Linked DNA regions of Mus musculus: region 2 is reported to be linked to region 1. The links are microRNA targets in miRTarBase. Many come from high-throughput screens and were not tested one by one. Region 1 holds a microRNA gene; the other region holds the end of a gene's coding sequence.
Evidence for each region. Region 1 holds the annotated microRNA mmu-miR-9-5p (UCUUUGGUUAUCUAGCUGUAUGA, at 1,363-1,385, shown strand). A microRNA usually pairs through its seed, bases 2 to 8, with sites in the 3' UTR of a target mRNA and lowers its output. Matches are read on the target gene's strand: a 7mer-m8 pairs with bases 2 to 8, a 7mer-A1 pairs with bases 2 to 7 and ends in A, and an 8mer does both.

Region 1 (4,376 bases):
AGTCAATCTCTAGATCTTGGATTTAAGATCTTTCTAGGGATGACTGGGGGGGGGGGAAGGAGATATCGAATTTTTCATATTTAATCCTTTGCCTCCCAGGAATGGGTGAAGGGGGTGAATCAGGGCTCATAGTGGGAGGGGTGTACAGGAGCAAGGAAGACAGGATGGGTTTCAGGTGAGCAACCTCTAAACCACCACGTTTAGGAGACTGAGACGGGACTTCAGTTTGGTGGCCAGGCTCAATTCTACTGTGAAACCTCAAAATGTCAATTCTTTTGCCCTGTAAAGTCACTTGGAGTAAGTGGGCTAGGGTGTGCTGTGAGCAGAAAGATGGCAGGAGCTGATTATTTTTATGGGAGGTGAATAGGAGCCCAATTACGGCCTTGGATATCTTTAAGGCGCAGGGGCACAATTGATTACATATCCTTGGCTGTACTAGGAATGGTCAGAGGGAAAGGGCTAACAATCTGGTGCCGACATTTAGGACCTGGTTTGAGCGAAGCATGCCATGGGAATCCCTACAAGTCAGGCAATATATATGGGATACATTGATCTAGACACCCACTCCTTCCCTTAATCCCCAGTCTCTACCGCGGTGTCTGTACAGTGCTGGGCAAGAAAAAAAAGGAAGAGAGACCTTAAGGATAAAGTGACCGGTTCGCAGCCTCTCCTGCGCTCACTTGGTTGCCTTGGAGAGACCTCGACCTTAAACCTCTTCCCTCAAACTCTAACTCTGGTGGTCTGCGGTGGCTGCCAGGCACCTAAGACGTTGCTGGGAGGTCAGAGAGGTTTGAGAGAAAGGCCAGACTGTGTGCATCCAAGCAAGCAGGCCTAAGGCTTCTGAGGGCAGAAGAGGCGCTCCCCTGTCCTCGCGGCGCAGAAGCCGTGAACGCCGAGGCCATTGTAAGGCTGGGTGGTGCCGAGCGCGGGAAGGGGGCTGGGATTTGAATGGAAGCCCGTGATAGGCCGATCCCCCGACTGACGTCACTTCCCCGCGGGGCGATTAGCCTGCGAGAGGAGGGCTGATGGTCCAGTGCGCTGGGGGCCGCCAGGGCGCCCGAGGCTGCCCAAGCGCAGAGCGCCGGTTACCCGAGTGCGCCCCGGGACGGCGTCGAAGCGGGCCGCGCACGCACTGGACGGGGAACTGGGGATGGAGAAATCGCGAGGGCGAGGGAGGAAGGGAGCTGGGCGATCCGGGTGGCGGGAGTCCGTGTGTCTGTGTGTCTGTCGGTCCCCTCTGGCTCTCCGCGTGCGCCCGGGGCTGCGGGAGCGGAGTCCGCTCAGGCCCCCGCGCCGGGTCGGCGGCGGCACGTGGGGCCCACAGCGCGGCAGCGGTGCCGGCGAATGGGAGGCCCGTTTCTCTCTTTGGTTATCTAGCTGTATGAGTGCCACAGAGCCGTCATAAAGCTAGATAACCGAAAGTAGAAATGACTCTCACAACTTCTGCGTGCGATGGCCCGGCCGGCCGCCCTGGCCACAGGAGCCAGAGGAGCCCAGAGAAGCCCACGCCACCCAGGGATTCCAGCTCGACGGAGCGGCCACGCCGGGACCAGGTATCCGACCTCGGCTCTCCTGGGGACACTTGCCGTGTCCTGGAGGCATTCCCTTCACCTCCTCCTCGGTCCCTGCACCCCCATCACCATTTCCCAGCGCCGAGGCTGGAACCCCGAAGTGGAGTGGGTTGGGGGCAGGGAACGGGCTGGGGTTGCAGAGGGGTCGCTGGCGGGGAAGGCGCCAGCCTTTGCCTTCACCCCATAAATCAGGCTAGAACAATCCACGCCCTGAGCTGCAGACTAGGATTTTGGGATGCAAATGCGATGAGAAAGAGAACGGAGAGAGGAAGGGAGAGAGGAAGGGAGAGAGAGAGGAAGGGGGAGAGAGAGAGAGAGAGAGAGAGAGAGAGAGAGAGAGAGAGAGAGAGAGAGAGAGGAGAGAGAGAGAGAGACCGGTAGGCAGTGTGTAGGGGGAGTAAAAGGGTGGGCAGGGGGCTGCCCTGCCGCTAACAATGCAGCCTTTATCGAATTATTCGACGAGTCAGCCCCTGAGCACCATTAGCATACGGCTGGGGGGTTGCTGGAGCTTCGCCCCTCGGTGAGGTCAAGTTCTTGATAATTTGATCACTTTTCACCGGCTCTGGCAGCTGCCTTTGTGTGCAGTTGGGGGGTCTGTGTGCAGCGTGAAGCGGAGCAGAACTGGCGGGGAGTGTACTCAATGGCAAGGGGCCTAGGCGGGGGGCCTCCCGCCCCGACCGACCGGCCCTGCCCTGCATACAAACCAAGAGCAGGCTGCTGGGCGGGAGAGACGTAGCCCAGATCCTCTAAACCTCTATAGTTCTGGTCGGACGGCTGGGGCCGGAGCCTCCCCAACTTCCCCAACTGGTTAAGGGGGAAGCCAGGCTCTCTGGAGCTCCTCTCCTTCCCGCCCCAATAAATGGCAACATAAGATGTATTACAATGTCTAGCAAATAAAAAAGCAATTGGGGGAAAAAATCTGAATTCCGTTCCCATGGCAACCCAATGCTGCACACCGGCCACTCAAGCTCCAGGTCCCTCTTAGCTGGGCGCTGCGAGTGGGGCGTGCCAATGTTCTGTGTCCGTGGTTCTTAGCCCCACAAGGAGCGGAAGGTCCCTTTGAGGTTTCTCTGCCTTCAGGTCCCTCTCCTTCCTGCCACTCCCTTTACTCTTTCCTTATCTTGAAGTTTGGGGCCCCCTGCAACTTAGGAAACCATTAGGGCTCCCGCGTGGTGGATGTAGACCCAGCTATGGACCCTATCAAGTGTAGGGAAGAAAGGATCCAAAGTCAGTTCACATACCTTAAGGCTTGGGGTCTTTTGGGGTTCTTTAAGGCACATATCAGTGTATACATGCTTTAGCAGATTGACTGGGAAGGATTAGTGCTACCATCCTGACTTGACCCGCTTTCTTTTCCTTGAACATATTAAGGAAGCAGATCTGGGGGGTGAGGGCCTACTCCTTAGGGAGTAGCACACACAGCGCAGAAGTGCAGAGGTGGGCACTACCTAGGTCACCTTACCTCCATCTTGGCCCAGTTCAATCCCAAGAGCCTCTTGCCTTAGTTATTTATAAGATTGGTCTCTCAGCCTCTATCCAGAACCTGCCCAGCCCCCTTGTGATAATAGAAATCTTTTTCCATCTTTGTGCCTACCAGCCGTTCCTCCCCCCCCCCCACACCCTTTGCTTAGCAAAATTATCTTAACAACAAAAAGGTGACTTGTGTAAAAGTAAAAATAAATTCAGTGATACAAAGGAGAACCTCCTGGGTCTGGGGAGGGGCAAGGTGTGGCTTCCATACGGTAGATGGAGAGTTTTTCACTGCATTGCCTTGGAATGTTAGACAAAATTAAACGCGGTGGCAGGAAAGCAGCTGTCTCTGTGCCTCCTTCTCAGGGACTCATTGGGTGGAAGGAAGGGGTTCGAGGTCCTTTCATCTTTTCCTTCCCGTTTCTTAGGCCTGTGAAGGGTCACTCGCGTGTTTGAGGACCCAGGAGCCTCCCTCCCCCCAACTGCATCTACTGGGCTTGCTCCCCCTTCCTGGTGCACCTGGGAGCCTGTGTGCTGGTGGTGACCTCATTTCTGAGGAAAGCAGAGCAGCTCTCTCAGCCTGCTTGCCCAGCACTCCCTGCCTCCACGTCTCACGGATGGGCTGGGGCTTCCCCAGAGCCTGCCCCGGTACTCAGAGCCTTCTCTTCCCTGGCCCCTCTCCTTTGCTATTTTTGTAAGAGCCAGTCCTTCCTACACCAAGGTGGTCACATAGCTTCACGACTGTGTCTTAGGTGTAGTTCAAATGTGTGTCGCCTTTGGTTCTTTTGCCGTCCAGGCAGGCTGGAGTCCCCCCATTAGGAGTCCCATGGAGGTAGAGTCCTAGCCTGAGACAGTGCAGGACTTTTACTGCTTTCTATGAAGGGGGAAATCTGCTGATACAAACCTTGCACTTTAGGGAAAAGATGAGGGCCTCAAGGGAGGAGGTGGTGGTGGTGGTGATGGAATGGGTCTGCTGATTCTGATTCACAGAGTTTATCTCACACCCACCACAAAAGGTTTTCAGGGGTGCCAGCCCATCCATTTTATCCTAACAGAGAGATGTTCAAATCCCACCCAGGACCCTTGGAGCCCGAGACACAGGCTTAAAATTGTGTTCCTTATCAACCTCCCTAGCTAGCCTATGGCTTCCTTGGGGAGCTTGGAGGGTCCTCAGCCTTTGCTCCCCCCCACCCATCCTGTCCCATTTGTTGAGCGTTCTCTGGCCTGACTGCCCAAGTTTGGGTTACACTGCTCCAACTTGCACTAACTAGTCTCTTTCTATAAGAAAAGGCTTGTGGGTCCTGAAAGCGCCGGCTGAAAGTACAGTTGGAAGCC
Region 2 (4,000 bases), not on the chromosome of region 1:
TGAGGTGGACTGGCCGGCAGTGCCCGAGTAAGCCGAGAGGTCCATGGTGAAGAATGAAAACTTTGGGGGCGGGGGGTGGGAGGATATCTGATATTTGTTTTACTGATAAAGCTTTGTGAACTAATTTTCTACAATTCATAAAATTTGGTGCCTTGTACTTGATTGTGGTTTGCATGAGAGTTAAGGGGAGGGCTCCTTTTCGTTATGGGTCTGTAGTGTTTAAAGGATACGTGCTATCAGATTTTTAGAGCATTCCTTTCTTTGTCTTATTACGAATGTAAATTGTTCTTACCAGCAAGTTCTAGAGTTTTACTGTCCAAACTGTATTTGTAATCAATCATTCATCAAATGTCTGACTACTACCACTGTTGTTCACTGCCTTTTGTTCATGCCTAACATTTATGCTGGCCTTTTCTGGAGGGTGACCCTTTCTTGAATGTCTATCACATCCTATATGGCGTTGCAGCTTATGTGAGCAAGGGTTTCCGGTTAGTTGGGAGAGCACAAATGATGAGAAAAGGCTTTCTCTAAATCACGATGAAGCTAGGTGACCAATGGCAGTAGAGTCTGCGTTAACACTGGGGTCCTTCTGCATGAACCATCAGGAAGCAGTGTCAAAACAATGCGCACATGTGAACCTTCAGACTGTAAGACAAGCCACTGTGTACTATGCAGTGAATCATGGAGAAATGACCCGTCTCCACCATCCTCAACACTTCTCGGGCAGATGACAACCTGGACAGTGCTGACTGGCTGAGGAAGGTAGTGAGACTCAAGTGTGTTCGTCAGGGCCAGTCCCAGCCAGTTCTTTCACTCCAAGCTTGAAGTTTCTGTTGAACTTGTGAGACTTCACCAAGTGTTCATGAATTTACCATGCAAAGCATACGCGGTAACTGGGTCCCTCGCTTCGTTCCTAGAGTAATTAGGTGAAGAGTTTTATCTTTGGGGTGAAATTTTCTAGGGTCACTTGATTTTTTGTCAGCTAAGTGTGGGTCTCACAGGTGGGTCATTTTTGTCAATACTAAAGCTGAAAAGCACCTTCTCAGAACTGTGAGCTTCGCCTCTCTTCTACATTCCTCTGCTCTCCATCCAGTCTGTCACTGTAACTATGATGTACCGTCAACCCATGCTCCACTCTACACCAAGGCTCAGTAGCTATGAGTCAGGGGGGTCACTTTGTGAGACCTGCCCATGCTTAAGTTGGCATCTTTCACTTAAAAATACAACTAGCAGCTGGGGAAATGCTCATTGCTAGAGCACTTAGCACTCGAGGCCCTGGGTTTCACCCAGCTCCACTAAGCCAGCTTAAATGAAACTGCCCAACCAGCATCATGGCGTCAAAGAACAACAGTAAAGTTACTTGGAATTAAATCTTAGGTTCTGAATGAAGCTTCAGTTAAGCTCTGAAAGCTGTCATGTCTTAAGTTTTTGTCTCATCTGGCTTTTAACTTAAATCTTGTCATTAACTGCTCAATTATGGGATCATGGCACACTTTAAGGTTTTATTCCTCCAGAAATCAGTTGCTCTTTCCTAGTGTAGCCAAAATCATGTGGGTTCTAAGTCTCACACACTGTTTACAAGGCTGCTTCCTGGTCACCTTTTGGGGCTCTGCAAGTAATGGCTTCAAACCCAAGCTTTGTCCTCGAGTTCATACTCATGACCCTGGCTCCCCAGCCCTATTGTTTTTTTTTAAAAAAGGAAGTCTCAGTGTGTAGCCCTGGCTAACCTGGAACTCACTATGTAGGACAGGCTGGCCTTAGAGATACATAGCTTCTGGGATTAAGTGTGTGCCACCAGGCCTCCAGCCTGCCTCTTCAGAGTATCTGTAATCCCAGGGTAAATTCTAGGCCTGAGTTCCCTCATAGGGTGTTTCTCCTAGCCATCCCCACTCAGGTCCTACCTGCTAAAGATTCACAAGAGAATGGCAACCCCCGTCCTATGCATGACTAGGCACGTGGCTCAGTAGGGTGCTTGCCTAGCAAGCATAAAGCCCAGAGTCTGATGCTAGCACCACATAAAATCAGGCATAGTAAAGCCTTGAATCCTAACCTGTACCTGTGATCCTAAGAGTCGGTTCATGGAAACAGCAAAATAAGCAGTTCATGACCATCTTCAACTATGTAGCTAAGTTTGAGGCCAGCCTGGACTACAGACCAGCACAAGAACCAGATATCTCCCCCTCCCCCCCCCCCCCCCGCAAAAGAACAAAAAACAAACACTTTTAATTATGCCTCCCCCAACCCCAATTATTTTCTGGAGGTCAAATTGAAGCCTTTTCTGCAATGAGCTATACTGGTAGGCCTCAGAGAACTGACTGGATGAGCTATGTGCCAGCAGGTCCAGGAAAGCTGCTTTGTCTTTTTCCTTTTTTAAGTAACATCTGTAACAGTCATGCAGCTATGACCCAGACACACTAATCCTTTCCGACGCATGCTGTGACCCACAACCAGTTCCAAAGCGGCTGGTGCATAAAAAAAGTTTTAAAATACCCAGTCAATTGACTACATGAAACTATGGAGACCCCGTCTCTACCGCCACCTGGTTCCCTGGTACAGGAGTCTTTCTGTGCTGGTTTCTGCGTGCCTGGAAGAACACCAGACAGCAGCACCAGTGTGAATTTCAGGGTAGGGAGCACCTTTGTTTGTGAAGGAAGCTGCTTCCTTGTGCTCCCTGACACGTTTGTCTCCACCCACACATCACTGTCCACTCCTGCCACCAGGTCTCACTCTATCCCAACAATGCCTCCCTGGTCCCTGGAGAACCCACCTGGCAAACTAAAACGACAACCACCACCTTCTTCCTACAGGAAGACTCAGCAGTAGGAACTGCTCAAGAATCAGCTTTGCGGCACGTGTGCATCCCTGGGAAGTGGGTGGTCCCATTCCCATTTCATCTCCACTGCAGATCATGTTTGGGGCTCATGCCTGTCTCTTGAGTGTGAAATACAAGTCATGTTTATTTGATTTTTGTAAGCGGACTTTTTACACCTTGTTTTTGTAATAAGTTTCTTATTAAAAGAATAAAATACCTGTCTTTTATGTGCAGGCTTTATTTGAAATCTTTTTCAAGAACCATTACTACTCTTCAGGACAAGGGCAAGGACCATCTTCTGCAGAAAGTTGGGAACTGCACACAGAACCGTGCAGAGGCAACATCTCAGCCGACACTGGGGGATGGGGGGGCAGTGGGGGGGGGTTCAGGCAAGGAGAGGGAGTCAACTTCAGCTGCCACTCAGGTAGGATCTTGTGGTCACAGACAGTAGGCTGTCTTTGGAAAGTCTGAATACACAGGAGTTCCATTCTCTGTAAGCAGATAACAGCATCAGAAACGGGGAAACACAGGAGAACTGCTCTCACCTAGAAACACAAGGGCAAGGCTTTACCCCAAGAATCTTCCCTACTTCTGTGACTAGCTGACAGAACATACTGCTGTCTTCATCTTTTAGGATTCCTGAAATAGGCAGGGGAAAGTGAAGTCTTACCTGGCTACACCCCTGGCTGAGGGGCCATCAAATCAATGTCACTCAAGTTCCTGGCCAGCCAGACTCCCGCAGCAAAGAGTCCCAAATTGAGGATCAAGTTCCTGGGTCAAGAATACATTTCATTAACCCTACAGTCCGAGAGTCTCATGCAGCTAATGACATACTATGGCAAGTTTCCTCTCAGCACCACCTTCTGGAGGTGCTGACTGACACCTGATACAGGGGTATGTCCTCCTAATATGCACATGAGAATTTTACGTTCGCATCTACTAACACAAGCCAAGGCCAACTTAGTACTCTGCGGGGGCTAAAATTTGCTTATGCGTTGGCACCCCTTCCCTGCCTTCTAGGTTAGGGCGATTTCTTTAAAAATATGACGTTCTTTAATTTGTGTATGTGCGTGCGCGTGCACGCGACACAGCGCACGTGTGGAGGTCAGTACAACCCGCAGGGGTTGGTCTCTTCTTGTACCCTGCGGGTCTCATGGATCGGCGGGTCCCATGGATCCCAAATCCTCA

Region 2: miRTarBase lists Tomm6 as a target of mmu-miR-9-5p. Seed matches in the 3' UTR shown: 7mer-A1 at 3,268-3,274.

What each region holds. Positions count from the first base shown.
Region 1 is chr7:79,503,917-79,508,292 of GRCm38, forward strand. Mir9-3 (microRNA 9-3) reads left to right here and starts at 1,348; the gene lies at 1,348-1,437. All of the region lies in intron 1 of Mir9-3hg (Mir9-3 host gene), which reads left to right. Gm51285 (predicted gene, 51285) reads right to left here and starts at 1,420; the gene lies at 1,363-1,420.
Region 2 is chr17:47,683,706-47,687,705 of GRCm38, forward strand. Tomm6 (translocase of outer mitochondrial membrane 6) reads right to left here. Exons shown (of 3, transcript NM_025365.3): 2 at 3,483-3,583; 3 at 2,940-3,303. The coding sequence ends at 3,487. It overlaps Gm20517 (predicted gene 20517), which reads left to right. Exons shown (of 9, transcript NR_157366.1): 9 at 1-3,034. It overlaps Usp49 (ubiquitin specific peptidase 49), which reads left to right. Exons shown (of 7, transcript NM_198421.2): 7 at 1-3,034. It overlaps Tomm6os (translocase of outer mitochondrial membrane 6, opposite strand), which reads left to right and starts at 3,905. Exons shown (of 3, transcript NR_045945.1): 1 at 3,905-4,000. It also overlaps a transcript of Frs3 not described here.